Caenorhabditis elegans: one gene and its partners. The protein of the gene in region 1 purifies or fractionates together with the protein of each later gene. This does not show direct contact. Each region holds a gene or a part of one and is shown on either strand. Other genes may lie near its edges.

Region 1 (8,874 bases):
TATATAGATCTATAGATATAGTACCCAAACTCATTGGGACACGAGCGAAAGTTTTCAGTAACAGGAACCGACAGAGATGTTCTTTTTTTGTTTTTTGGTTTGGTTTTTGAATTTTTGGGTTTTTGAAAAAAAAAGGTTTTTTTTTGTTTTTTGGTCAAACAATTTTGGTGGCATCCCTGGTACATATGTACCTGATTGTGAGAGTGTTTTGCTCAATTTCATCAATTATATTCTTGTCTTACTCGGATTTTTGGGTGTTTTCATGGAAAGGCCACAAATTTGTTGAGTGACATTTTTAATTAAAAATTTACAGTACTAGAGGGTACGGTAGCTGAAAACTTTCGCTCGTGGCGAGACGAAATCTCACTTGGGCAAAAGAAAATCTCATTCAAAAAGAGGGTAAATGAAGGTCCCCGAGAGTCAATATCGAGAGAGCAATAAATTCGTTTTCCCTTCAATATGCTCACCTGCCCCTCCATCTCATTGCCTTCTTGCCTCTTTAAGAAACTCCACCCACTTTATTTCTTGGTGGTTCTCTTCTCAGACCTCCCTTATAAAATGTACATGCATTTGTCACCTTGACGACACATATACATATAAACATCAGAAATATATATATAAATTTTTGGCAAGAAGTCATGAGAGTGCGGGGGGGGGGGGGAAATTTCAAAAGTCAATTGGATTATTAAAATGAAAAGCTTTTTGCTGAAGAGAGAAGAAAAAGAAGAAATTTGAAGAAAATGTCGAAAATCGTGTGGAAAAAGAGCAAAGGAGCCGTCGGAGTGGTCGAGGGGGAGCATGATCAGATCTTTTGACTAAATCTAATTTTCAGCATCAAAGGGCACTCATCCGATTTTCGAAATTCCCCGGCAGTATATGTGGAGCCCAACATGTTTCTCATGTTCTAAAATTGAAAAGCTTTATATAAATATAGATCTGTAGAAAAAATTGAATAAGATATAAAAGTACAAGGCAACGGAATTGAATTATAGGCAAATATCACAAAATTTTGGCACACATGCATGGGAAAATATGAATATTATCAACTAAAAAATATGGCTTCGAAATGGGATCGAACAATTGTTGCAGTTTTTGATTGGACATCGGCAAGGGATGATGTGTAGTTGGATGGAGGAATGATTAAGACAAGGAGGCGAGAATTAACCTGAAAAATAAAAACATTGAATTTTGTTTTTGCCAAGAATGTTGTTACCTTTTTGATAACAATCCACCAATCACTTGAAGATTTGACGAAACATTCACCAAATTCTTCAGTTTCCGACACAAAATTGCTCATTGTATCACATACTAAACGATTAACATCAACTGGTGGCAGTGGTACTTTTAATGTTGAATTAGATCCAGAAGCGGCAACGGGAAGCTTCGGAGATGTTGAAAGGCTTGAGGTCATGGATAACGATGATGGATTGAAGTAAATGTAATGGAAATCTGGAGCTTCCGGGAACTTTTCGTCGCCGATTCTGAAATTAATGGAATTTAATGGAATTTATTGTGATATAATGTAAGTTTGAACTTACTCGTCACCAATTTTACTCGCTACTTGTGAAAGTTCGGTTTCCAAAAACTGATCAATATTTCGAAGAAGTCGACGACTGACAACACCATTCTGTGAAGGAGTGGCGCGAGATGATTGAGATGATTCTGGAAAAGAAAATAAGTCGGAAAAAGATTTATTTTGTTTAAAGGTGGAGTTCGGAAAATGTAGATATTACCTTAAAAGTAGTTTAATGTGCCGAAATATCACATAAGAAAGATGAGAAAAATCCACCAAATTTGGAAAAAATCTGATTTTGATGAAAATTCAACTTTTGCTAATCCCTTTATTTGAATTACCACGCTTTTGTCTCTAAACTCCGCCCATAGAACCGTGCCGCACTTCGACTTTTTTTTTCAATTTCGACACGAATTCTTCTTTTTTGTGTTTCTTGACTAATTTTTAATGAAGAAAAATTCAAAAATGTTCAAAAATATTTTTCCTATTTCAAAAGCATTTAGAAATCATTTTTAAAAACGTTTCCTTGTGTTTAGAATTTCAGGAACATGTACTTTTTTCGGGTTCGATACGATTTTTTAATTCTTTTGATATACAAAAAAATATATTTGATCATTTATGCCATTTTTCTATATTAAGAATAAAAAAACAACACAAAAAGACAAATTTGCGGTACAATTGCAAAAAAACGAGGCGCGGCACGGTTCTACGGGTGGATTTTAGATACAAAAGAGCGGCAATTCAAATTAGCAGATTAGCAAGAGTTGAAAATCGCTTTTTTATTTTCAATTTATTCTCAAAACGTAATAAGAACGTTTCGTTTCGAAAAACTATTTTTAAAAACTCACCAGAATCCCTTCTGATTTCTAATCCACCATTTGCTGGACAATTTCTGACAAACATGCAAACTGTTGCATTTAGACATCGATAAACGATCATCTGGTATCCGATGAGTTCTTCTTGAAATTCAGTTCCTTGATCGGAATGCAAATGAACTACAGAAAGTGACTCATCACCGAGCAACGGAGCATCTGTTGTTAAATCTGTTGGTCCTCGTAGATATCTTCCTTTTGAAGCATTTCTTCCAGAATGTTCAAGTTCTGGAGCCAATGTTGTTGGAAGCAAATTATGTGTCAAATAATGAAATAGTGATGGAAGATCGCGTTTCGAAAGTTGATAGTAGAGAAGTTTATCTTGATACAAGAACATTATTTTCTCGATAACTTGGAATTCTTCACGAAGTTCGGAAAGTAAAGAAACAACGTTCAAGTAGAGAGGACCAGACATTCGTAGAAATTCGACGCCTCCAAGATGATCAAGTAGTGGCATTTTGTGAACTTTCAGTAGTGGGATGTACTTGGAGAAGAAAAAATCAAGGCGTTCTTTGAATTTTGGAATGTCGTCGGGAACATTTCTGAAAGATATTTTTATTTTTATAAACTAGACTTTAACTTACTTGATAAAAGAAGAAAAAGTTCCAAAAAACATTCGAAACATTTTGTAGGCATCGGAAAGTATACTCCTAATCGCTGGTTGAAATAGAGGATAATCAGAAACCAATGATAATTGTTTAGAAATTGATACTCCAAGAATAAATTGATCGTCTTCTGTACGAATATAAACGTGCTCTGTTCTCTGCGTCGTCACAGTTCGGAAATCGAAACCATCTTCATTTTCACTAATTCTTTCACTGATTTCCCGACGGGAGGTGCTCAAGAAATTTTCTGTAAAGTTAACAACGGCTTCTGCGAATCCTGTTATTTCGGTCTGAAATTAATACAGTTATTAGAATAAAAAGTATTACGATATTGAAAACCTGTCTCTCTAATTGCTCGCCTTTCGGATGAAAATACATCACACGATTATGTTCTTCGCCTTCTTTTCGTCCTGATAATGGATGCGCCACGAAAAAGAATTCAAGGACATCTGTAAAAACATAATTATTTCGTTTTTTTAATTAAAATTCAATTACCAATGAATCTGACCACATTAGAGCAGGATGGCGGGTTTAATGACAAGTTGGAGAAGAAATACAATGGATTTGCAATCGACTCCATTCTGAAAAAAGCAAAATATATGTTTTGTACCGTGCAGTGTTAAAATTAAAATTAAAAATAAAATAAAATAAAAGAGAGAAAAAGAGTGTGTGAGACTAGGAGGGTAGCAGACATAAATGATTGACGCAAACGTTGTTCACTGACGCAAAACTTGATCACTGGCGCATGTCTCGATTTATTTTTTAAATCCTCCGCAAATTTTCTGCAAAACCATGCAGAATATATATATTGTTTATTTGTCACAAGAAAGAGATAAAATATTTGATCATATAAACATATAACTTTTAGACGACATGAATGAAAATTCTAGCTGGAGAGGTGGCAGTAGCTCTCAGCACGGTCAATCATGGCGCAGTGGCGATATTCCACTCCCTAGGGACTTCCCTCCACCAGGTTTGAATCTTTTAAACGTTTCAAGATTGTAAATCATTAATTTTTGACTTTTCAGAACGGCAGTCGATTCCTTCTCTGATGGATCCACCAGAGATTGTCGAATGGCGCAAGAAAATCGATGAGTTACGTCAAAAGATTATCGACAGTGAGCAGAATTTGAACGCTCACAGAAATGGAATGGACGAGCTCCTAATGGTGTGTTTTGCAAACATACAATCTTGTATCCACGTTTATCCAGGCACATCTTAAATCTGCTATTCGAACTTCTGAAACAATGAAAATTGAGAAGATGTTGAGTCAGAATAATCTGAACGTGGAAGATCTCAATTCCTATTTAGATGCAATGGCTACACCGAAATGCTCTAAAGATTTGATTTCAGTAAGTAATTTTTCAAAAAATAAAGAAATTTGACGAAAAATTTTCTTCAGCAAGCGAAAAAGTGGATTTTCGAATACTGCACAAGCGATCAGCTGAGAGAAATAATACTGTCTTTTCTGTTAAATAAAGTTAAAGATGAAGCATCTGGAGAATATCTACGACTTCATATTCTATATTTAATCAATGATTGGGCATTTCATTGGTAAGCTTAGAATACTGAACAAAACGTCGTTAAATACCAAATTTCAGTCAAAGAAAAAAAGAAGAAAATCAAATGAAAATGCTGGCTCGATACGTTCCAAAAATGTATGCATATTGTATAGAACTTTCTTCGTCGAGTGAGTTGAGCAACAAGTTAGAAGGAAAGCTTTTAGGAGAATGGGAAGGTCGACAATATTTCGCTGATTCTGTATTCAAACAACTCAGGAATACAGTTCAAATTGTTAGCACTGACAGAGAAATTGAAAAATCATCTTATGGAACAATTCGGGAGTCGATTCGAAGTAATCTGATGGCAACGTTTGATGGATATGAACAACAGCATGTCACATATTCCCAGCATATTCAAAGACAAATTGACGAAGTTGAGAGAAAAATTGATGGTGAGAAATAGAAATTTAGTCTGAAAATTTTAAAAATTGGTTCTTACAGAGTTTCGTCATGGGCCATCATCCGGACCTGCATCGCATCATCCTAATGCTCCACTGTCAAACATGAGAAGATCAAGATTTGATCAAGCTCCAAAACATTCAGCTGAACGACCACACGCTTCTGTTTCGAACACATGGAATCAAAATGACCAGCAGGACGATGGAGAAGATATTGATGGAATGCCGTTTGATGAGGAAAATTTGAAGCCACAGAAATCGTATATGGCTTTACCGGCTGGAATTATGACTCCACTAGTTTCGATGAATAGTGTCATGGTATGTTATGATCCGATATTTTGTCAATTTATATTTTATTTGATTCAAGTATGAACCATTGGACCCAGAAGAACTTGAAATGCCAGCATCAGTTCCACCGTCATCAAGACTACTTGCTGCTAAGAATATGTTCCACAAAGGTGTCGAAATGGATATTGCTTTGGCCGATGGAGCGTACGTTCTCAAAATCAATTCAATTTTTTATTAAATTAATTATTTACAGAATCACCGAAGATCCGACCAACTTGAAATACCCTCTTGAGTTTTTGGAAGAAAAGGCACGTATTAAAAAGACATTCGAAGAAAAACAAAAATGTTCTGTCGAAGAATTTATCACAAATCGACCATCTGCAACTGATCGAGAACGATTTGACAAAACAAGAAAATTGAAAGAAGAAGATCAAATTGAAAAAATTCGTAAATGCGTCGACGCATACTATGCTTCACAGGAGCCACCCGAAAATTTAAGAGAAGATTCCGAGGCGAGGCGTTCCAATTCACGATCCCCTCCTAGAGACCACAAGAGATCGAGGTCGCCGTCACGAAGTCCAAGCCCGAGAAGACGACAACGATCTTCATCGAATTCATCTAGGTCTTCGGGTTCTTCGTCAAGATCCTCTTCTTCTAGCAGAAAATCGTCTCCGGAAAGAGGAAGAGACAGTAACATTGGACAGCGAGGATACGGCGGAGGAGGTTTCAGTGAAAGGTTTGTTTGATTAATAAAAAAATGTTGATATTAAAAATTATATTTCCAGACCTTCGTTTGGATTCAAATCTGCCCAGGAACCACTCTCGTACGATAACAAAGGTGCCCAACTTATGGCTAAAATGGGTTGGGGAGGAAAAGGATTGGGAGCAAATGAAAGTGTAAGAATCAAAATATTTATTTTTCAGAAATAATTTTCCAATTTTTCAGGGAATCGTTGATCCTGTGTCTGGTGGAGAAGTTCGTAATAGAAATGAGCAATTTATGGGCCTTGGTCGTTCACTTGATCCATATGAGCAGTTCAGAAAACAACGATCTGGAACATACCACGACCGAGGAAGTTTTCACCGAAAATAGAATCTCTACGTTTTAAATTTATTTTTTTTGTTATGCAATAATTGTTGAGAAATCATTAATTTGTTTATTTTATCATCATTAAAATGATCTCCGAAACATACACATTATTAAAGCTAATGCGAAGCGATGATTGGCGACGTAGCCGTCTATTTTTTTACAGACATTCACAATCTTTTGTGAGTTGAAGCATGAGATTGAATTATTCAAGGTAGAAGACTGGACGTGGCTTGGGGCGAAGTGGGATCATTCGATGGGCAAAAGCTATCCAGAGAGCAGTGACGACAACTAACTGGGCGAATAAAAGCTCCCAAACTCTTTGAGGACCAAATGATGCGTATATTGCTCTGAAACAAAACAAATACTACCAAGGCGCGGAGTTTGCTATTCTTCCGCATAAAACTACTGTTCCCGGTCTCGATACGACAAATTTTGCTGATTGCAAAAAAGCGTGCGCCTTTAAAGAATACTGTAATTTCAAAGATGCGGAATTTTCATAGATTCTTCAAAGTTTTTCTCACAGATTTGATACGATTTGTATCGTTTTATTTGAGTTTTTTAGAGAATAAGCATATTTTATAGATAAATTATGCGCAGCATTCAAAGTTTGAAATTACAGTACTTTTTAAAGGCACACATTTTTTAGTTAACAAAATTTTGTCGTGTCGAGTTACCAAGTGAAATATTTTTTAGCAGAGCATTTCCTTCGAAGTTCAAGCTTACGTGCAAAGAACAGGAGCTACAACTCTCGCAAAAACTTGGGAAACGTCATAGAGACTTTGCTCCAATGCTTGGCCAACTGGATTGAATAGTTTTGAATAAAGCGTGGCATCTCCAACATTTATAAATGGGACACAACCACCAAAAGCTATAATATATCCAATGTAGAAGAACTGTAAAATCGTCAAATTACAGTAACCCTGAGAATTATCGCACCGCTTGAGATGTTTTTGGAAGTCCTAAACACCATGAATATAATGAATAATCACATCCTCCGTGAGTTCCATCTGTATTCACAACTACATTCGTTGGAATATACGGCCATTGATATGTTGTTAGAACATATATGATAAATATTATCAAACTAATTGTATTCACTTTTCCAATATTCAATTTTCGAGCAACATCCGTGAAGACAAAAGTACTGTAGAGAGATAGTGCGAAGACTCCGGCGATGAAGAAAATAATGGACATTGTACCGACTGCAGAATCTCTTTCCATATTAAACATCATCATCATGAATGCTGGAGCAAGTGTTTCAATTGCATAATATGTAAAGTTTTGGCAATATCTTGTCAGCATGCAGACGAACATTGCAAGTTTATCTGGTCGAGGCCAATTTTCATCGTCTTCCTGAATTTTTTATATAATTTTTTTTAAAATGGAAAAATGGAATCATCAACTATATATAAATCAATTATTCCGTATGTTCATAGTTTTTAGACTAAAAAGTGTTGTCTTTTGAAGTGATAACGAGTTGGAGTTAGGAAGATAATTCCAGGTTACTGTAGTGGTTCTATAGAAATTCTGAATTAAAATTTAAAATTTTTGAGTAAAAAACAAGGAAAGAAGCTGATCCAATTTTGGGATCCGAAAAATTTGAGAGTTTTATAAAAACCTGGAATATTTTTAAAAGTTTTACATGTTTTTGGAAAAGTTTATAAAGTTTTGAAATGCTGAACACATTTATTGAAAACTTCTAAAATTATAAAAAGAACCTTCAAAATTGTTGGAAGCTTTCGGAAAAATTTAAAGACTTTGTTTCGAAAATAGTATAGTAATAAGGGCACATTAACATTCGGAATAAGTTTTTTATTATTATTTTTTTAGAAACTTATTGAAAACTTCGAAAAAATTTTATATTATTAAAAATTATTTACTTTCCTTACCTGTAGAGATTTTTCGTGAAAATGGAAAAAAACACTTACAACACTCCTCTGACTGCAACTATTTCCATTTCTTTCAATTTCATGATATACTGTAAACAATGCAACAATTGCAGATATATTTAACACAATTGAAATGAACGCTGCTGCATTATGAGAATGAATATGCAATGGACCGATAAGTTGAAGTCCAGTATCTCCAAGAAATAAGAAAATCAATTGGAGCCCTGGACCAAGAATGAGCCCAAGAGCACGTCCACCAATAAATACTGACATTGCTTTTGCACGATCATCGGACATTGAATGAGCAGTTAGGGTTGTACGTAAAGTTGACGTATTTCCTAGAGAATTTGAGAATTAGCTAGATATATTTACTTTTCGGAGTAGTCGGCGAGTTCAATACTTTTTTTTAAATTTGAATATCAATTTATCATTTCTAATGTGGAACCACTTTACTTTTTCTGATTCGACCCAAGCTTGATGTGTGAATTTTGCTAAATGAAATATTAAAACCACGTTTGAAATCTTTGAAATAGTTACAAAAATACAAAAATAGCTGCTATGAGACTATTTGAATTAGAAATAAAGCAATCATAACGACTTACCCATTCCAAGACCACCTAAAAATCTACACAACATAATGTAGAATGCACTAGTTTC
Region 2 (6,991 bases), on another chromosome or scaffold:
AAAAAAATCAAATCATTTTTTGAGGAAAGTTCAACTTTTCGGTGATTTTTATAGAAAAATAATTGATTTGAATAAAAGTTAATTTTTTGTGATTTTCTTTTTAAAAAAATTTCTTTTTTGGAAAAAAGTTCAATTTTTAGTGATTTTTTTAAACCATTGATTTTTCGTGAAAAAAATAGTTTTTTGTTTGATTTTTTGAGAAAAATTTGCAATAAAACAGACCTATACCAATATGGAACTATGAAGAATAACACTGAAAGATGTAATAGTCGATGTTTATATGAAAATATTGACGGTACAAATGTTTCGGAAAACATTTGTGTGGCAGTGCTGAATACCTGAAAAATTATATAAAAATTGTGAGAACCTTTGGGGGAAAAAATTGTCTAAAAGATTTTTTCGATTTTTTATTTCAGTCGCAAATACGGAAAAAATACGACGATTCTAAAAAAAAATTTTCGTAAATTGGTTGATTTTGATGCAAAAAATAATTTTTTTAATAGAGAATCGACCGGAAAAGTTTAAAATATGAATGTATTTTTTTAATAATCGAAAAGTTGAGAAAACAGAATGCAAAACCGGTTTTTTTTTTAATTTTGAAGAAATGTTCATAAAAGGGGGAATACAGTTTGTGAGTATATATCTTCGTCTCTGATTTTTTTTCCAAAAATCGATATTTCCCGGGGATCAAACCCTTTTTAGAAACAAGGCAGTTGAACAAAAAAGAAAAAAAAACAAGAGTTTTTATGTGGAACTTAAAATAATTTAGAGAGAAGAATTGAATCTCGTATTTGAGAATTTTAGAAAAGGGAAAAATTAGGTACTTGGACGGAAAAATCAGAAGTCATTAATTCTACAGATACAGAGAGAAAAAAAAGAAACAAACTAATTGAATTAGAAGGGTTGTAAAGGGAACGGATAGAAATACCAGTACATAAAAATGAGAGAAACGGTATTTTTTAAAAACGAAACAAATCGGAAAAATGTGGAAAAAAGTCAAAATGTTTAAAAATTTTGAATCGGCTTTTTCAATTTTTTGAAACCGATTTTCAGAATATCAGGAAAATTCGGGAAAAAATTGAATTTTAGGAAAAAATATCGAAATTGTAATAATTTTGGATCGTTTTTCTAATTGTTTTTCTCACTAAAATCAGCTTAATTTTTTGAAATTTTTTCACCGATTTTCGAAACTTCGAAAAACAACATTTTTGAAACTTTTCTCAATTTTCCAATTTCAAAAAAAGGTATAACAAAAAATTCGATTTTGTAAAAAAATAATCTAATATCTTCGATCTCTGTGGTGTCTCCGATCTCTATCATATCCATGATGACGATGCTCTCGACGATCTCTGGAATCCCTGGAATCCCTGGAATCATGACTGGAACGATGTGGAGAACGACTTCGGTGACGGCGGCGCTCAGTGTCAGATGTTGTTGCTGCTTCAGCACGTTTTTCTCTGAAAATATTTCAGTTTCTGATTGATCAAATTTTATTGTGAGCAGGGCTACCGGTTTTTAAGTTAAAAAACCAAAAAATTGGAAAATTTACGGTTTTTACAACAAAGAAATTTAAAAATTTACGGTGTTTCTAAAGAAATCGAAAAATTTGTGGTTATTTCAAAAATCGAAAAATTTACGGTTTTCGGTTTGAAAAAAATGGATAAATCGAAAATTTTTCGCTTTTTCCAGAAAAATCGAAAAAGAAGTTTTAAAATCCGAAAATTGTCGTTTTTCGGTTTTGTTTAAAAAAAAACTTTTTTTTCGAAAAAAATTTTTTTTTTTAATTTTTTCGGCTGCACCCCTGATTGCTAGTACCTCCGCTCTTTTCTTTTAGTCTCCTCGGCTTGTTCAAACTCCTTCAGCTTTTCCTGAAATTTTTTAAATTTATTTTCCGCGAAAAAATTCGTCTACATATTGCCAGTTTTTTCCAGTCAAATATACCTGCTCTTTGAGCCATGACACGTAAAAAGGCGTGGGAGGGTGAAAAAACCTGAACCATTTTTTTGGGGGGAATACCTGTACGTCAGCTTGTGTGCTTGAGAGATTTCAGCGTTTTTCAGAGCCCATTTTCTAATAGTAAAAGCATATATAAATATGATATATACGTGTGCATATTTACCTTAAGCTGTTGAATCATAGTCCGGATTTTTTGGAAACCTGTGTGCATTTTTCCAGTCAAATGTTCTTCGATACGCTGTTGAGCGTCATTCACGATGAGCATGCTCCCACACACTTCACAAACCTGTAATTGTATTTTTCTTGGATAAAAATCAGTCTAAATCTTCTAGATTTTTAGATTTACCTCCATTGGCTTAATTGCCATTTCGTCAAGCATCGGTGGCATGGCTTGTGGGTTCGGTTCGTTCATTTGTGAAAGTTTCTCTTCAAGACCTCGTTTTTCAGCTTCAACCATCTCGCTTCTCGCGACTATTTCCTGGCATTTTGTCACATTTCCCTCACTGCCGGCTTGCTCTGCGTCTCGTATCATATTTTTCAGGACATCATCTATCGAATTGATCTCCAATTGTACCTGACGCTTCTCTTCCTCTAACTTTCGCTGAAAAATTGCGTGTTTTCGACATTTTTTTTCAGATTCAAAGAGTTTACCTTTCCACTATCATCCATTCCGGACAATTTGTCTTTGTTCTTTCGAATTCTTCGCTGATTATCTTCATCTAATTGAACGAGAAACCGCATAAGACGTCTTTCAAAGCCAAGTTGTCCATATTCTGGAGATTCTGGATACAATCTTCGAAGATTATCGTCATGTACTAGCTGGCACGCTCCCAAATCTGCCTTTGTATTGATGAACATGTCGTGAGGACAGAAACCGACCAGGAAGTACGGGCATATGTCAGGATCCTGTAATAATCTATCAATAGTTCCAGGGGAAAAAATTTAAGTTACATCAAATGTGACTTTTGTGTCTTTTCCTAGTTCAACATTCCGTTTGGGACCCATTAGCTCGTCGAGCATTGCTGCCATAGCGTTGCGAGCCGACATGACTGTAAAATTTATTTTTTGTTGAAAGTTTGAGAGAAAAATCGGTTGAAATAACAGAAAAAAACATCGTTTCGCCGGAAAAAAAACAAAAGTTTGTTTGCAAAAACACTAGTGTATATTTACGGTAAACAAAGTGCGCATGCGTAATTTCGGAGTGTCGTTGTTGTGCATTTTCCTTTGAGAAAACGCGTTAAGATCACTATTTTATCGACTTTTTTATTATTATTATGAAATATATTCAATAGAATTTTCTATTTCGAATCATTTTTCAGTAAAAATGTTGAGAAAATTCAGTAAACAATACCAAAAAAGAATTCGATGAATAAACAAGGCGCGTGGAATTCCCTGTGGAATTTCGGAGTGTCGTTGGCTAAAATCTTTCGAATTATAAAATTTAATTTGCTTTCGAGACTCTTTTTGCCTCTTATTATTACGTTTTTTCTTCAAATTTTCAATTTCAGATTCACAATGGCAATGGCAAATCGTCAAAACCGTGGCGCAAAGCTGCCGCCAGAGGTCAATCGTATTCTTTATATTAAAAATTTGCCGTATAAAATCACGACGGAAGAGATGTACGAGATTTTTGGAAAATTCGGAGCAGTTCGGCAAATTCGAGTGTAAGTTCAAGCACAATTATGGTTTTGCCTGTTCTTGAAGAAGCCCGACCAGTATTGATTTTTCAGCGGAAACACTGCAGAAACTCGCGGAACTGCATTCGTCGTCTACGAGGACATATTCGATGCGAAAACCGCCTGCGAACATCTGTCTGGCTATAACGTTTCGAATCGGTATCTTGTGGTGCTCTATTATCAAGCGACAAAAGCGTGGAAGAGAATGGACACGGAAAAGGCTCGTACCAAGCTTGAAGATATCAAAGAAAGATATGGAATTGGTGGAGACATCGACAAGGAAAAGGAGAAGTTGGGATTGTTCACTCCAAGAAGAATTTAAATATCGTGTTTCTTTAAACCTTATTTTATCATTTCCCTCAACCTTCAATGAATGATAATTTCTCTGTGATTATTTTTCTTTGAACTTTTCATGAAAAAAGTATAAAGAGTAGCTGAGAAGTATTTCTAGAAGCCTTTCCCATGTAGTTTTCACTGCAACTTTTTTCGAACGAGGGGTGAGAAAAAATGCGAAAAATCGGTGTTTGCACACAATACACCGCATTTTACGACATTTTCTACTTGCTTTCTTTTCTTGTGTTTTTCACCGATTTTTCCCGTGTTTTCTTATTAAAACTGATAAATAAATATTTTTTGTTAATGCTAAAATAATTTCCAGATGAAAAAATTGTGAATTCAGCCGGCAAGTAGCGGTGAAAGTGGTCAATGTAATATGATGGATTACGGGAATACAAAACCCAAACTTTTCCCCAAACATGATACATATGATGTTTAGATGCTAAAAGTACCTGATTTTCATAATGAGACCGCTGAAAAAGTTTTGAGATTTTCAAAATTCAACTTTTTTGGTAAAAAAGTCGAGATTTTGGCACAAAATGTTGAATTTTGAAAATCTAAAAACTTTTTTAGCTGTCTCGTTATGAAAATCAGGTACTTTCAGCATCTTAAAAGCATATATATCATGTTTCAGAAAAAGTTTGAGTTTTGTATAGCCGTAATCCATCATATTACATTGCCCACTTTCACTGCTACTTGCCGACTCAATTCACAATTTTTTCACTTGGAAATTGTTTTAGCATCTGCAAAAAAAATATATTTATTTGTTTTGATAAGAAGAAACGGAAAAAATCGGTGAAAAATGAAAGAAAACACGCAGAAAACAAAGCAAGATAAATGGCCGCTGAAATTTGTCGGGGACTCGACCATGGCCTAGAAACCTTTTTGCCTCGTCCCTCGTTCGAAAAAAGTTGCAGTGGTTTTATTCATTTTGCAGTTAAGGTTATTTTTTCGAATGCCAGTTCCAACTCCACTCTCGGAATTCGTTTCTTCCAAAGGTAAGTAATCATGATTACTGCTGAATTCGAACGTTTTTATTTCAGTTGCCACGTTTAGCAACATTCAAAGATTCTTGAATCTCGACGGAAATGAGCATCTTGCCGTCGCCGCTCTTCAAGACAGTCGGGTAATGGGAATTCCAGAAGCGACCGGCCCTGAAGCACCAGCTGGAGCGATGACTGTTCAGTAATATATCGTTCAAAGTAAGTACTAGTATCCTAAGTAAGTAAGCGGTATTTTTATAAGGAAAATGTTTAAAAAATTTTAAATCGTGTTTAAGACTCTACGACCGATCCTGATTCGAAGTTCGGCTGCCCGCAATGCCACAAAATGATCAAATGGTGCCAGATGTGAGTAAATAAATTAAAATAAGTAAAGCCATAGTTGTTTTTCCAGGGATCATCACATTTTCAATGCACACGTCGTGAAGAAACCCTTTCGCTGCACAATCTGAAGTTCGGATTATTGTGACAAGGATGGAGCTGTTGCTCATGCTGTGAATTGTCACGACTTGTCAAGAGAAGAAGCAAAAACCAAGTCCAGAAAGAGAACTGAGTCGGAAACCAAAAAAAAGTAAAAATTGCCAGTTTTTCCCTAAATATACAAAGGTTTTTCAGGATGGAGAGAATGATGAACGATGCTAAGGAAGGTTTCTCGTACTGATGGATCTCACATGTGCTCTCTATTTTTTTGTTTCTCTTAAAATTTGACGTTTTTTCTCCCTTTTGAGCCCCCTTTCAATATCGATTTTTAATCTGGTCACTTTTTTCTGGTTTTTTTTTTGCTAGATTTAGACCTTCACCCTCCTCTCGACAAACGTGTAGAATTGCTAATTTGACCCCCTCCCAGTAATTCACAATTTCCTGTGGAGCCATCCGATCTCACATGTGCTCTCTATTTTTTTTGTTTCTTCTAAAAGATGTACAATCACTTTATGAAAGGAAATCCAACAAATTCTACGGAGACGACACCATTCTCACAGGAAAATGTTTTCACTTGGAACATCTGGATAGTTGCATCAACTTCGAAATTTTCTTCGAGAAACAGTTTTTGGTGGAATTTTTTAAAGAGAAAAGCGGATTTATCAAGTTTTTTCGTGATCTCGTTCTCTGATTTTTTTTAAAACAATTTTTTTGAATAAATTAAATTTTTTTAATTGAAAAAAAAAACTGCGAGACCCAGATTTCTGTGTCCGTTTGTCTGTTCTAGTTGTGACGCACTCAATAGGCTCGGCATTTCGTGCCGTCTTTCTCTCACCTTTTAGGGTCGTCTCACCTTTCTCTCACCAATTTGCCGCCTTCGCCTCACCTTATGTGAAATTACGACAAAAAGTTCCTAATTTTTCAATGAAAAAACAAATTGTCACCTTTCACTCACCTTTTGGCTGTAGAAACACCAAATTTAGCGGGCCCGACGCCTCTCTCCGTCGCCACACTTTGTCACCCTTTCTCGGCAAGTCGGGCCGGCTTTCCAGGGCTCATTGCCAGCTCTACACGGCACATTAGGCCATTTCAACCTCTTTTTCCTAAAATTCCGCCGCACATTGCTGCACTTCGCCACACCCTGCTGCACTTTGTCGTACTCTGCTGCAGTTTGCCGGACATTGCCGCAGTTTGCCGCATTTTACTGCGTTCAGTCTCATTTTGACACAATTCACTGCATCGGAGCATATCTTTATGTTCTTCTTCAGCTAACGACCACATCAGCGTAAATTTCAAACCATAAAAACTTACACTGAAGGTTATATTATCCAAAGAGATTCCAAAACGATTTTGAAAACCTCTCACATCTGGTGATATCAGTTATAATAATAATAATAATAATAATTTATTACGTTTGCACTGAAACGTGAAATTGTTGAGAGAAAAAAAATTAAGAAATCGGACAAACTAGATCCCACTAAAAATGTATTTCGATTTTTTTTATTTTTTGGCGAAATTAAAAAGTTTATATGCCCTGATATATTAGACAGATAGTTGAATAAAAATTTGCATTAACAGCTCCAGCTGGATTTGCATTAACAG
Region 3 (7,499 bases), on another chromosome or scaffold:
AATCCAAAAAAAATTTCTAGGTCAAATCATTCGTGATCGCCTACAACGCAATTCGTCATCACATCGACCCAGACACAGCAATCGATGCAGCAACACTGGAACAGAGAACTCAAGCAGAAACATGGGGAAATGTTGAATGGGCTCACGGAATTGAAAGAGAAGAACTCATGACAAGACTGTCGGCTGCTTGTCTTTTTGTCTATTTTAATTCAAATAATTTCACTTCAAAAACTGTTTAATTTCTTTTTTAAAATCTCTAGTTTTTAGCTTGTTTTAGTAATTGTTTGTTTTGTTTTTTTTAAATTCATTTCTTCATTTTAATTAAAATATTATTTTATAAATAACGCATCATACATTGGTATTCATTGTTCGCGAAGAAGTAGAACCTGAAAAAATGTCGTGTTATTATGGAGACGTAGAAAAATGCAAATTTGGAAATCGCGCTCCACCGAACATTGGACCTTTTAGACGGGAAAGCTAGAAAATCAAATGTTTTTCGAGCACTTTTCGTCAAAATTACTTTTTTAACAGATTTTTGGCATAAAAATTTACGGAAAATACGAAAAATTCTCGAAAACGGGGAAAATCAAGCATTTTTCGACTTTTTTGTGATTTTTTGAGTGATTTTTATGCATTTTATGACGAAATTGAATTTTTTTGACAAAAAAAATTATAAAACACCACCAGAGAAATAACGAAAATAAGCCGAAAAATAACTGAAAACGTTTGAATTTATCGTTTTGCCGCCAGTTCCTAACGGTACCCAACTTTTTCGCGTTGGAGCGCGATTGCGCCTCGATTTCAAAAGGCGCGTACAAATTAAGAAGTGCCGTTGAAATATTACCGGAAATTATTGAAAATTCGGTTTTCTCATCATAAAAACTGATTTTTTTTACTTTTGAAAGAAAATTGAATTTTTTTTTGAAAATTCAAACTTACTCTATATAACTTGCTTCTTTGGTGATTTTCAACAAAATATAATAATCATCTCTTAAAATATTCTCTGCAAATTGCCAAATCACATCTTCCCCGACAAACGTCGGTACACGAATCGTAATTTGGCATACAATAAGGGAATATATTTTTCTAATTTTCAGAAGGTTATCCAAATAATTTTCAATTTCTTTCATTTCAAAGATGAAAATATGCTCTATTACCTGGAAAACATGCCCTTTTCGAAATTAAGGTTGGTGCAATCGCGCTCCACGGAATCTCGTTGGGTATTGGCGGCAAAAATTAGACATTCAAACGTTTTCACATGTTTTTTTTAAACATTTTTACGTTTTTTCAGTTGTTCTTGACGATTTTCAGAAAAAATTACATTTTTAGCAGAAAAATAATTTAAAAAAACGGTCAGAGCAACAAAAAAAAGACTAAAAAAGGTCGCAAAATATTTGAATCCCCAGTTTCCCCGCCAAAACGAGACCTTTTCGCGTTGGGGGCGATTGCACCTCGATTTCAAAAATATTTTTAAATTAAATTTGTATTTTCAGCTTACATTTTCTTCTTTAAATTGAAGCAGAGCATTGTTTAGTTGTGATTTTGAAAGATCATCTACTTTTTTATAATTTTCAAGCTGAAAATTTCAGAATTTAAAAGTTCATTTCTTCGACTATAAACTACAAACTCCACGGAGGTTCTCCCTCGAATCGATAATCAAATATTTGCAATTGAGCATCTTAAAATCGGTATTATTCAATATTTGGAGGGAATTTCCCCCGAAAAACACGAAATTATTGCATTTTTGAAACGGAAAAAATGTTCCAGACTCTTCCCAAGTGAAATATTCCGAGAGAGCACATCGTTTTACAGTGTACGGCAGATGTGAAAGCTTCTGAACAGAGAAATAAAAAAAATAACAGAATATTCGCGACCGCGACGCAATAGCAAGCGGAGCGGCTCGAAAAAAAACGTGGATTTTCAAGTTTTTCGCTCAATTTTTTGCGAAAAATTACTCACTTTGCCGGTAAACTCTAAATATTTTAGCACACACTGGTCTGCCCGTGCCAAAAGTTTGGCTCTATCCTCTATCCCTTTTGGAAAATGCTCTGCATCATCGAATGCTCCATTTAAATGCGAATAAAAGAATAAGGAGAACAAAAAGAAGACGACTGGCGAATGATTTACCATTTCGCCAGTTATATTCTAGGCGAATACCACACTTTGGAATTGTGGTAATCTTACAGGGAAATCTCCGAAACCAGTTTGTCGTCGTCTTTTTTCTGGAAAATAATTTATGAAAAATGAAGTATGATTCAACAAATAACAAAGTGCGGAGCCGGGACAAGCAGGAGATCACGTCAAATTCAACGGTCTGCGCACGCTTTGAAAAGAAGAGAAACTGGAAGAATGGGGGACTCGAGAGAGAGAAAAAATACAGAGAATTGATTATATTTGCGCCGTGTTGTGCTTATCCACGGAACGTTGGAGCTCCTCCCGGGCGAGACATTCCACGTGGTCCTCCACGGCCCATTGGTCGACGGAAAGCGGTTCCACGTCCTCTTCCACGCTGATCGAGACCTCCCAAACCCATTCCAATGGCTCCTTTCTGGGCTCTTCCGATATTTTTGAACATTGGCGCGTTTTTGAGCATATCCGGCAGAATCATGAATCGGATCTGGAAATTGATTGGTTTACAGCTGAAATTTAGAGAAAAATGGTGAAAAACCTTGTTTCCGCGAATGAAAACGTTGTCCAATTGATGACTTCTTCCGTCGCGGAAAGTCACAACGGTTTCAGCCAGCTGACAGTTCATGTTGTCTTCGGCTTCAGAAAGTTTTCCTCGGTAAACTTCGCCTGGAATAGAAAAGTATTTATTGAGCGACGGGAAATTCGAAAATGATTACCTGTAACGGTTTCGAGCGTGACCATGTGACCTTCGGCCTCATGAAGAATCTTGATTGGGACACCAACTGAAGTCATTCTGAAAATTTTGATTCTGTAGATTCGGCTTGAAGGGAGAAAACGTTAGAAAAAAGAAGTAGAATCGCCTAAAATTTCAGATTTTCACACTTTTCACGGTAAAGTTTGTTCTCATTTGAAATATGCTGAGCATAATAGACAAAAAAGGAATAAAACCCCGAAAATGAAGTTTTTTCGGAAAATTCTAGAATTTGCACGCGTTGCAAGAAAAATGTGGCAACAAATGGATTTCCAGATGAGAAAAATGTGTTTTAGAACTTTATTTTGAAGAAAATCTAGAAATAAAACGGTTTTTCTTTCTAAAAATTACGAAAAATGAAGAGCTCAAAATGAAAAATGAAGGGAATAAAATTCGAAAATAAGGCACGCGACGCAGCACGCAGCGTGTGCAGTGGGGCGCGTTTGCGGGAAGGGCCTCATGAAGTTAACTTCCCGGAGACGCAAGAACGCCGAAATTGGAGACTAGCATTTATGTAAAATGCAAATTTAAATATTTAATTAAATGAAAACTATTATATTATTCTTAATCAATTATAAATACTAAAAAAATACAGCAATTTTCATTTGTAAAGCTGCCAGAAACTATTTCAAATCTCACGTTCCCTTGTCCCCGAGATACTAGTTTTACGGAATGCGCATAGAATTTTTTAATTATTTACCAGATTTTACAGATGAATTTCCATAATTTTATGTAAAATATGAAGAAAAATCGGAAAATTCTCTAGAAAAATGTCAAATCGGCTTTATATTCTCCTTGCTGTAGTCCTTTTCCTAGCAACATTCGGTTCAACCGGTCTAATCGTTCTTCCAGCCAGTATCCTCTGTTTCGTAGCGGGGTAAGCTTTAATTCTTTAGAAAAACCTTAAACTGGAATACCTTCAGATTTCTCTACATTTTCTATCAAACGGGACACGAAAAACATGACGAAATCGCTGGAATTTTATCCGAAAATCTGCAAAAAGGAAAATTATCTGCGGGAATTGAGGCTCTGCTGAAAAATGGAAAACGACTCAAAGAGCAAAATCAATATGTGGAGGTGCATTCAATGTGCAATTCACCGCAATTAGATTTGGTTTTAGAACAAGTAGGGATTTATGTGGACTGAAATGTTATTAAAAATATTTTTTTTTAGATTCTCGGCAATATAACACGGGATTACGTCGGCTTTTGGTATAAAACACTTTCAAATGATAATATTTTTGAACAAAGCTTAAAGAGAACCTCCCGAAGATCAATTGCCTCATTGACACAATGGTGTGTAGCTCATTAATAAAATTTTATTTTATAAAACAAAAAATGGAAAAAAATCAATAAAATCTCAAATTTCCAGTCTCCGCCAGGTTGATTGGGTTCCATTGCTCACGCGTGACGTTGTCGACGATTTTGCTTCTCATTTACGGCTTTTCCGGAAAGCTAAGGAAAGAACTGCATTTCAAGCGAAGGAAAAAGATAAAACATTATCCCCTGAAGATTTGGAAGCGGAATTGCTCAGCAATTTCTTTGATTTTGAGCTGGAAATGGAAAAATCGTTGTGTAGAGATCTTCTTTCAACTACACCGCATTATGAAAATGGTAAAAATTGAGATTTTCGATGAAAAAATTCAATTTTTTCCGATTTTTCAGCCTATCTTCATGATCTTGTCGATATAATTCTCTATTTAATAATGCCACCGGAAGATTTTAGATGTCGGCCGCTGAGATTCTTGCTTCGAGAAGTTGTTGGTCAGTGTCGGAAGATATTCAGGAAATTGAGAAAAATTGAAAAAATAAAATCAATTTTTAAATCGAATTTTCTTCTAAAAAGACAAAAAATGACCGAAATTTGATGGAAAATTTAATTTTTTTCTGAAAAAAAAGTCAATGTCCCTTTAAAAGATGTGTAGATTTGCGAGCCACGAGTATACTCGTGGACAAGCATGAAAAACGTATTTTCTAGCAGGATTTCACGGTTTTTTGCGTTTTAAATTTAATTCTGCCTAAAATAATAAAAAAAATTATAGAAAAAATAATTTTTTATTGATTTTTTGTTGAAAATCGAAAAATTTTAATGCTATTTTTCGAAAAATCGGGGAAAAAACTAAAAAATATTTTTCGTTAACTTTTTTGAAATCCAAAAATTTAAAGTTTTTCGATTTTTCAAAAAATAGCAACAAAACCATCGAAACACACAATTTTTCTTCAGAAAATAGGAAATCTCAGACATTTTTGCCGAAAAAAACGCTTGTCCTCGCATAGTACACGGTGCTCGTAAATCTACACAACTTTTAAAGGGACATAGAAGGTCTCGCAACGCTCTTTGCTGGCGAAAAATGGATAAAAAAACGAAAATAACATTTAAAAATCTAGTTATTATTTTTTTTTTTCAGTAAGAAAAGTGATTCTGCCTACTCTGGACTACCTCTCCGATCCAAATGAAATATTTCAATTAATCGTTTGGCTTCTCAGTGAAGTGGAACCAAAACCCGATGATTTTGTGGCGTGTCTCACGAGTTCAACATCCATCGAAGAGCTGGAAGCCGTGTTCCGAGCGATTGCTGACGAAAAAATTGTAATGAGAGGGAAGGATTCCGGTGGAGAACAGGATACTTTCGTTAAACAACAACTAGCCAGTCTACAATTCGTCGAAAATCTAGTTCAGCGGCGAATCGACTTCTTGGGATCCAAAGATTCCGCGTTGCTCACGAAATTTGGCGAAGATGGAGATCAACTTGTACAGCTTCCACTTCACGTTATTCTCACGAATTCTATTGCTCTGTCACAGTTCTGCGAATTTCTCAAATCAGCTGGCGGTCAAAATTATATTGATCTTTATTTAGCCATTGAGGTACATTGGAAATGTCCTACTTGTGTGATTTTGCAGTTTTTTTGGCTTAGTTTTGCTTTAGAACACCATTTTTGATGAAAAACACTGAAAAGATCAGCGAAAATGACCCAAAATAAAGAATTTTCGGTCAAAAATCCTGCAAGAAACGCATGCCGCACAGAAAAATGGGCGGAGCGAAGATTTGCAACCCTGCGGCGCGCCGAGCGTGTACTTCTCGTGGACAACTGGAAATTAATTTTTTGCATTTTCTCAGTCTTTCTGCTAAACTTTTTGGTTTTAGGTCATTTTTGCTGATTTTTTTTGTGTTTAACATTCAAAATTCGCAATATATCACTTATTTATAGTGTTTTCGTTCAAAAATTTCCCAAAATCGAGAGTTTGTGGTTTTTTAACCGTTTTCATTGTGAAAGCTTGAAGAAATATGATTTTAGATCTGAAAAATCCAAAATTCCCTATTTTTCAACTCGAAAGTGTCAAAAATCAAAAAAGTTTGATATGATAACTAGAGAAATTCCGTTTTTCGTATGAAAAATCCCGAAATGCACAGTTTTTGAGCTATTTTCTGTGCAAAATCTCTTTTTTTGGTCTATTTTTGATGAAAAACACTGAAAAAATCAGCGAAAATGACCCAAAATCAAGTATTTTCGGTCAAAAATCCTGCAAAAAACGCAATGCCGCACTGAAAAAGGGGCGGAGCGAAGATTTGCAACCCTGCGGCGCGCCGGGCGTGTACTTCTCGTGGACAACTGGAAATTAATTTTTTCGCACTTATTGACTGAAAAAAGCTCGATTTTGCTCATTTTCGCGCTTTCTCCGGTCGAAAATTGTCATTTTTGCTGTGAAAACTTGAAAAAAAATGTGATTTTCGTACAAAAAATCCCGGAATAATCAGTTTTCGAGCTATTTTCGGTGCAACATCATACTTTTGTTCGATTTTTTATGAAAACCCCGAAAAAATCAGCGAAAATGACCCAAAATGAAGCATTTGGACCATTTTCGCTGATTTTTTTTCTGTTTCACATTGAAATTATGCGAATTTTCTTCAAAAATATAATTTCAGGGCTTCAAAGTTTCCGTTGAACACCAAATGCGTTCACTTTCAAAAGGAGAACTCAGTGAATCAGATGCATATGAGACGGTGAAAGAAGCTGCGAAGTATATGTATGATCAATATTTATCAGAAGAGGTAGAAAATTAAGAAAAACTGATTATTTAACGATGAAAATTCGAATTTTTTGGTCTAAAACGTGTGAAAAAGGCTCGTTTTATCTGGAAAAATGAATTTTTCTACATTTTAAACTTAAAAATTTTGATTTTTCATCGTTAAATTATCAGTTTTCCACTTTTTCCATAAAAAAAACCCCCAAAAATCGCATTTTTTTTTCAGGCAATAACTCGAGTTCCTCTAGAAGATGCTCTAATTTCGAGATTTCTTCAAAGTCTTAAAAACGACGAACCTCATGATCTCTGGTTTGAATCGATTCAGGAAAAAGTGATAGAAGTGTTGAAAACTGACGATCATTTCTTCCCGGCATTCAAAAAATCGGCGGGCTATGTGAAAATGTTGTTGGAATTGGAAATTATTGATGAGGTTTATTATAAATTTCGAGATATCCAAAAAAATCTATTTTTTTTGAAAAAAATTTCAATATTCCTAAAAAAAAATCTATTTTCCTAAAAAAGTTCGATTTTGCCAAAAAAAAATCTAAATTTTGGCTGCTTTTGAAGAAAAAATTATATTCATTTAAAAAAT
Region 4 (6,998 bases), on another chromosome or scaffold:
CGGCGAGACCCATCCACCTCCAAATGCGGCCTCCCTTTAACCATTATCAGGTTTTTTCTTCAGATTTTCGCAATTTTTGAGCTTTTTAATCACTTTTTAAGCTTAATCGTTGCAATTTCGTTCTTTCTAACCTTAAGAATAATTTTCTCAAAGTACACATAAGCAGTTGCCACCGTATACACATCAATTCCATTCGAGACCCCAAGTTCTGCCATTTCTCGCTTCAAACTCTTCATTTTGCTCAATGTCAGATGAATCATTGGGTATTTCGCCTCGAAATCCTCATTTATCACTTGTTTCGCCCTCTCCGCCGATTCACAATGAAGTGTGCTTGCCACGCAACACTCGTGACGGATTACAGTCCGTTTTCCGATTCCCAACTCGGAAAATGCGATCGGATCGTACTCATCGATGACTTCTGATGATGGTTCATCTGATCGGCTGGCGTCTAAATCGCATTTTTCATCGATTGAAGTTCCACGTTCATAGCTTGAATCTCGATTTACGGCTTGTGGAACTTCGATGGTTTCCGCAAACATTTCCTCCGAGGTTTCGCCGTTTCGGAAGCTTTCCTGTAAAAATTTTCGATTTTTTATCAACTTTTCACCTAAAATTCACATTTTAAGACTCAAAATCTGCTCAAGTGAACGAAAAATTCCGAAAAAAAGGTTTATTTTAGTGAAAATCTTCAATTTTGCCAGTTTTTAAGTTTCATAAATCCATTATTACAGACCTTAACGGTGGAGTAGCGCCAGTGGGGAAATAGCTTTAAAACACGCCTATGGTACCACAATGACCGAATATCATGATAAAAAATTCAGAAAAATGTTCTAAATTTTATATGATTTTTTGAAAATTGAAAAAATCTCAGTTTTCCCCTAATTCCTATTTGAATTACCGCCATTTGGATTTGTTCGATGGAGCGCGCTTGCACGTTTTTAAATTAATTTATTTTATTTTTTGTTATTTTCCACCGATTTTTAATGTTTTCGGTGTATTTTTGGTGGAATTTTAGAGAAAAAGTCAAAATAAATGCAAATTTTTGATTAAAAAGCAAACAGGCGTAAAAATCAAAAAGTAACGCTTTTAAACGATTTCGAACCTGAATTAATTGATTTCACTGATTTACGCCTGTAAGAGTGCTTTTTAATTGAAAATTTGCAATCATTTTGACTTTTTCTCTAATATTCGAGCAAAAATACACCGAAAACATTAAAAATCGGTGGAAAATAACAAAAAATAAAATAAATAAATTTAAAAACGTGCAAGCGCGCTCAATCGAACAAATCCAATTGGCGGAAATTCGAATAGGAATTAGGCAAAAACTGAGATTTTTTCAATTTTCAAAAAATCATGTAAAATTTAGAACATTTTTCAAAAATTTTTTATCATGATATTCGGCCATTGTGGCCCCATAGGCATGTTTTAAAGCAATTTCCTCACTGGCGCTACTCCATCTTTAAACAGTACGAAAATCAACGATATAAAGTGAAATAAACGAGCAAAATTTGCAAAAATACGAATTTTCGCCTGCTACGACACGAAAAACTCGGTAAAATTGAAGATTTTAGCTAAAATTCGCCTTTTTTCCGCGGATTTTGAATCTTAAAATTCAAAATTCAAAGCCTCACCCTCCGCTCTTTCCTGGAAATCGAGGCGGGCGACTTGTCGAACAGCGTGAAAAACGGCGAAGGATTCCGCTTTCGGCGAATCTGCCCCAGAATTACTTGATCTTCAGCGTCTCGGAAGACAAATGGCCGCAGCTCTTCTGTTGATAAGTGAGCCTGATGCCGCATGCGATCCGAGCTGGAAAATTGGATTATAAGGTGAAATTATGGGAATTTATCGTATTTTTTCAAGATTTTGACCTAAAGGCGCACGGATTTTTAGCAAATTGCAGCGTTTTTTCTTACTTTCTGCTGAAAATTTGCGTTGTTTTCCTTTTTTTCGGTCTGAAAACTGAAAAATTTAACAAAAAAAACTACCACATGCTGTCTTTTCGCGTCGATGCACAGCTGAATAAACCCATGTGCCTTTAAGATCGCATAGCCGAAATTTCTGAATTCCTGCGCTTTTTTTGTGAAATTTTGTTAGATAATTGCCAGTTTTCGGGGAAAATTAGGTAGAAGATATAAATTATAGAGGAGATGTTAATTCTAAACCTTCCAAAAATCGATTTCGATCGGAATTTCTTCTTATTGACGGTTGTGTTGGCGAAAATCGGCGCCAGCGGATCCACGTAGTCGCTGTTCGGCGAGATATACGAGAAAACTGCCAGAGGCTGGCCATTCGTCGAGGTGCAGATGTAAAATCTGAAAATGTGGGTTAGTTCGCAACACGGAACGGTTAGTGTGGGGGATTTTAGAGGATTTTATGATGGTTGAACTCACCTATCTGCATGGGTAATGGTGCTTTTGAGCCTTCTCAGAAAACTGAACTGATTTGAAGAACAAGATGGTGATTCTGAGCGAAATTCTGTGAAAATTTTGAATTAATTTATTTTATTTCAAGTTTTGTAAGCTTTTATAAGCTCGCCAGCTCACCAATCAGCCCACTATCTTCTCTCCCGACGCCTTCTTCAAGAATCGGAGATCTACTGTTTGTGGCGGTCATTGAATAGATCACGTCGTCGGAGCTCATGATTTTCGCGATTCTTCGGAAGATTGAAGTTCTATAAATAGAGAAAATTAATTAATTATATTGATTTTCAACTAATTTTCACTTTTTCTGTGGTGTCTCCGCGTATTCCTGCGGCAAATTCGACGAGCTTAGCCGTTCTCCGAGTGAAGCGGATGTTCCGAGTGAGATCACTGATTCATTGTTGCGGATGGTGGTTGTGGAGCTTGCGCCGTTTGAAAACTTCTTTTCCGTTGGAGATATCTGAAAAAATTATCAATTAGTTACGAAAATCGCTGAAAAACCAAGATTCTCACCTTCGGAAGGCCTTTTGTTTGGAAAATTCGAAGATTTGTGTCATTGTGGCTTCCATCAACACTGATATTTGATAAGAAATTTTGTGCGACGAGAATATGATAGTTACTCTTCTTTTTTACCATCTAAAATTGGAAAAACGAAAAGAAAAAGCTCGGAAATCCGATAAGAATTGTGTGAGTACGGTGTGCAAGCGTCTGCAACTTGTCGTCATTTATGGTGTACCAAGCGTGGTGTTTGCGTACTATTCGAATTTCGAAAAATAATTTCGTCGATTTTAGCCTTTTTCATCCAATTTTCCTGATAATTATCATGTTTATTCTTTGAAAAATTAGTTAAAAAATGTTATAATTAATGTATTATCTGAATTTTCGATAGGTGGAAGTTGAAAAATGAGCTTTATTTTCTATTTTAAGTAAAATCTGTTTCTTTGATGATTTTTCCATTCTTCATTTTCATTTCCCCCTGCAAATTCTCAATTTTTCAGAAAAATGAGTAAGACACATCCACCAGAGCTCAAAAAGTACATGGACAAGGAGATGGACTTGAAGCTCAACGGAAACCGTCGCGTCTCTGGAATCCTCCGCGGTTTCGATCCATTCATGAACATGGTCATCGACGTATGTTTCTTTTTCCGTTTTTGTCTAATTTATTCTAAAATTTAATATTGCAGGAAGCTGTCGAGTACCAAAAGGACGGAGGATCCGTCAACCTCGGCATGACTGTCATTCGCGGAAACTCCGTCGTCATCATGGAGCCCAAGGAGAGAATCTCCTAGATTTTTCGATCTCCACAATTTCCTGTCACTTTCTCAATGTTTTCATTTTCAAATTTTGATATTAAATTTTTGAACCTTTTTTTTGATAATTTTTGATAACTACGTGGTCAAAACCCACTTCTCATCTCTGATTCACGTGAATTTCGTATAGATAAGAACTTCGCAAATAGAATCAATTCACAAACAAATGTACCAAAAGTTATGTTTTATTATTGCAGGCATAAAAAAAATCAATCGTAAAGCTTTTTTTCAGCATTTTGTTTTTCCACGGCTCAAATTGAACGAAATAGTGTTCATTTTGAAGAGAGGCACGAAACAGAGTAACAAAAACACGGAGAGACTTGTGTATCCCTCTTCTCTTTCCACTATGTGCGGTCGACGACGCTCTCCACATTTTTCTCTCTTTATTCTTCTCGTTACTCTTACTCGGCACAACAGCAGCAAAAAAGAATACTCTTTCCCCACTTCTTATCTCTTTTTCTGCCGACCTATTTTCTTCTTTCAAAACAGAAAAATGTTCCACACACACGCCTATCATCATCCGAAAGCTGTACGAGATGTGCTTTCTCATCTTTCCGTACTCTTGTGGCTGCAGCCGTCGAAGAGTTGAAATATCAATTTTCAAAACGCGGCAGATTCTCAGCCGGAATTCAGTGAATTCGCTTGATTTCTCGCCAAAATATAGAAATCAGACGATTTATCTGAAAATAACACCCATTTCAGTTGAAACATGCGAGAAAATGCTGAAAAATAGCCTGAATTTGCTAATTTCAGGCCATTTTTGAGCTCTTCCTCAAGTGTTTCGACTGAAATAAATGTTTGTTTTAGATAAATCAAGTGATTTTCTATAATTTCACATCAATTTTAAATGAATCAACATGTCACAATAGGTCATTTTGAAAAATTGGCGCCAATCCCCAAACCTGATCTGGATTTGAACAAGAGTTTTCTACTTCGATTTCACATTTTGCTGAGAAAAACCGAAAATTATCGATGTTCTCTTTTGAAAATTGAACGCTTTTCAGTGATAATTAGGAAAAATCACCTTTTTTCAAGTCGAATAATTTCAAAAGCTTCAGAAAATCCAATGTTTTGACTCGAATTCAGGAAAAACCGGAAGAAAATCGCGAAATAATATAAAATCCGAATAAAAAAAACGCGATTTTTTTCAATTTTGGCTGAATTCTCCACACTCCAACTGATTGATCGTTCATTTTTTAAAGGAATTTAGCCAAAATTGCAAAATCCCGATTTTAAAAATAAAAAATTAATTCTGTTATGATTCCGCGTTTTTTATTTTGTAATAATTCCCATTTACGCCGTCTTTTAAAAATGCAGACCCACAATTTTTCTGGTGAACATTTCAAATCAATTCAAATTATTTTGATCTGATCTCCGGCGCGAATCACTTGTACTTTGTTCTCTCTCCTCCCGTCTCCTCCGTGGCACTATGTCATTCTGAAGTTGTTTCAATGACAAATCACTCACGCACACACACACACACAATGGATTGTGCCCTTTGTGTTGCCGTTTGACTATCATCGATTGATTCCATTCCCGTTCCGTTTTCGCCGTGCTCTCTCTCTCTGGGTTTTTCGTCTTCTCCCGGGAACACTTGGCCAGTTATCACTCGCTCTTTCTGTCCTCCTCTCAACAGCTATTGGCTACTACTACTACTGCTGCTGCTGCTGATCCGGCTCCGGTTGGCTATAGGCACATTTTGATGCGATTTGTGTGTGTGTGTTCTTTGGAGATTCAATTTGAAGAACTCTTCGCCTTTTTTGTATAAGTTTTCTTTTCGGGGGTGAAAAAATTCGCATCTTTATTCTCTTTAAGGTGGTGTAGTCTAATTTTTTTAAAAATAGCTTTATTAGACTCAAAATTGTCTGAAAACACCGAATTTCATAGTGTAACTTCTCAAAAAAAGTTTATGACGGCTCCAAAATGGCCTAAAATTAGTTAAAATTTGAAATTCGACCAACTTGTCAAGCGGCTGGAAACAAAATCACCGTCAAATTTTGAGTATACAATGTAATTATCTTGCGTTTTTAACTTCATTTAGGTATTTTAAAGTCCATGGACGGCGAGATTTCACAATTTTTTTAACCAAATCTCGCCGTCCATCGACTTTAAAGTACCTAAATCGAGTTGAAAACGCAAGATAATTGGATTGTATACTCAAAATTTTACGGTAATTTCAAAAAAAAGTTTCCAGCCGCTTGACAAGTCGGCCAAATTTAAAATTTTAACAAATTTTTAGACCATTTTTTCAGCCGTCAAAACTTTTTTTTTGAGAAGTTTTCAAGAAGTTTCATTATGAAATTCGGTGTTTTCAGACAATTTTGAGTCTAATAAAGCAATTAAAAAATTCGACTACACCACCACCTCAAAAATTTATAAATTAAATATATTGAGAATATTTTACCTGGGGTTTGGTCCCTAAGCTAGGCTTCTGAGCAAGATAAAAATTGAAAAAGGTGATAAATTCATCACTTTTTTCTCAATTTTTTGGCTCAGAGGACTAGCTTGGGGCCCAAACTGTTCACTTTCTCTCAGAATTCCGAATTTTTGACCCCGGAAACAGAATAAAAATGCACAGCCCTGACTGGTTCACATCATAACTCTTTTTATTTTATCGCTTTTTTGTCTCTTCTTCTTCTCCGCCGCCAAGTCATTCCTCTCAACATCCAATTTTCCAGCGCCCAATGCCTGTCCCACCACAAGTGCAAAAGGTCTTGGACGATGTCGACAAGCAGCTCCACGAGCCGAGCACCGTCACCAACGTGCTGGCGACCGTTGAGCAGAAGACCGGAGTCAAGCGGCTTCATTTGGTGCTCGGCGTCGTCGGTCTTCAGGCTCTCTACCTCATTTTCGGACATTCCGCCCAGCTTGTGTGCAACTTTATGGGATTCGTCTACCCGGCTTACATGAGGTTCGCGAATTTTGCAACAAAGAAAACTGCCGCACAGAAAAAGAGGCGGGGCGTAATTTTGCAACCCTGCGGCACGGATTTTCGCTCTTTTTTGTTGATTTTTTTAAATTCTCATAAGATTGTGAGGACGCTATCAAAATTTATTTATCGATCCTTGCATTTTGCAAAAAGTTTTGTCGCACAGAAAGTGGGGCGGAGCGTGCTTTCGCAACACCGCCGCACGGGGTTTGTCTCCGCCCATTTTCCACAGCTTTTCTTGTTGATTTTCTCAAAAAAGTTTTGATTTTACTTGTCTTTTTCTTTTCTTTTTCGAATTGGATCACATTTTCATTCGAAAAAAAGGGGCAAAAACAAGAA

Evidence for each region.
Region 2: the proteins of tag-65 (region 1) and sftb-6 fractionate together in Caenorhabditis elegans (co-fractionation; one large-scale study listed by BioGRID). This does not show direct contact.
Region 3: the proteins of tag-65 (region 1) and snr-1 fractionate together in Caenorhabditis elegans (co-fractionation; one large-scale study listed by BioGRID). This does not show direct contact.
Region 4: the proteins of tag-65 (region 1) and snr-7 fractionate together in Caenorhabditis elegans (co-fractionation; one large-scale study listed by BioGRID). This does not show direct contact.

The regions. Positions count from the first base shown.
Region 1 is NC_003283.11:13,673,572-13,682,445, reverse strand, and holds tag-65 (CID domain-containing protein), read left to right. Parts: upstream 1-3,858; 5' UTR 3,859-3,863; coding exon 3,864-3,963; intron 3,964-4,018; coding exon 4,019-4,158; intron 4,159-4,201; coding exon 4,202-4,342; intron 4,343-4,392; coding exon 4,393-4,544; intron 4,545-4,591; coding exon 4,592-4,944; intron 4,945-4,993; coding exon 4,994-5,268; intron 5,269-5,317; coding exon 5,318-5,442; intron 5,443-5,491; coding exon 5,492-5,974; intron 5,975-6,023; coding exon 6,024-6,135; intron 6,136-6,184; coding exon 6,185-6,331; 3' UTR 6,332-6,424; downstream 6,425-8,874. Other genes in the region: ccz-1 (Vacuolar fusion protein CCZ1 homolog), read right to left, coding at 1,043-1,165, 1,214-1,481, 1,539-1,662, 2,362-2,927, 2,970-3,280, 3,330-3,439, 3,486-3,570; F58G11.4 (MFS domain-containing protein), read right to left, coding at 6,531-6,675, 7,052-7,221, 7,265-7,681, 8,257-8,555, 8,820-8,874.
Region 2 is NC_003280.10:94,940-101,930, forward strand, and holds sftb-6 (Splicing factor 3B subunit 6-like protein), read left to right. Parts: upstream 1-3,464; 5' UTR 3,465-3,471; coding exon 3,472-3,620; intron 3,621-3,686; coding exon 3,687-3,954; 3' UTR 3,955-4,022; downstream 4,023-6,991. Other genes in the region: C50D2.7 (putative ADP-dependent glucokinase), read right to left, coding at 223-317; luc-7L3 (Luc7-like protein 3), read right to left, coding at 1,280-1,457, 1,816-1,868, 2,120-2,242, 2,303-2,557, 2,608-2,862, 2,908-3,003; C50D2.10 (Transcriptional regulator), read left to right, coding at 4,924-4,966, 5,012-5,157.
Region 3 is NC_003282.8:17,083,482-17,090,980, reverse strand, and holds snr-1 (Small nuclear ribonucleoprotein Sm D3), read right to left. Parts: upstream 2,933-7,499; 5' UTR 2,923-2,932; coding exon 2,847-2,922; intron 2,797-2,846; coding exon 2,669-2,796; intron 2,618-2,668; coding exon 2,411-2,617; 3' UTR 2,131-2,410; downstream 1-2,130. Other genes in the region: Y116A8C.27 (ATP synthase mitochondrial F1 complex assembly factor 2), read left to right, coding at 21-239; Y116A8C.43 (Lipoprotein), read right to left, coding at 335-386, 940-1,157, 1,499-1,576, 1,628-1,834, 1,960-2,130; snx-13 (Sorting nexin-13), read left to right, coding at 3,652-3,758, 3,805-4,006, 4,055-4,176, 4,253-4,494, 4,546-4,644, 5,289-5,746, 6,807-6,932, 7,134-7,337. UniProt on the Caenorhabditis elegans protein: Plays a role in pre-mRNA splicing as a core component of the spliceosomal U1, U2, U4 and U5 small nuclear ribonucleoproteins (snRNPs), the building blocks of the spliceosome.
Region 4 is NC_003279.8:2,723,596-2,730,593, forward strand, and holds snr-7 (putative small nuclear ribonucleoprotein G), read left to right. Parts: upstream 1-3,418; 5' UTR 3,419-3,422; coding exon 3,423-3,551; intron 3,552-3,604; coding exon 3,605-3,709; 3' UTR 3,710-3,787; downstream 3,788-6,998. Other genes in the region: Y71F9B.6 (Cyclin N-terminal domain-containing protein), read right to left, coding at 132-572, 1,632-1,806, 2,163-2,312, 2,391-2,475, 2,544-2,671, 2,723-2,880, 2,934-3,056; yop-1 (Receptor expression-enhancing protein), read left to right, coding at 6,415-6,641. UniProt on the Caenorhabditis elegans protein: Plays a role in pre-mRNA splicing as a core component of the spliceosomal U1, U2, U4 and U5 small nuclear ribonucleoproteins (snRNPs), the building blocks of the spliceosome.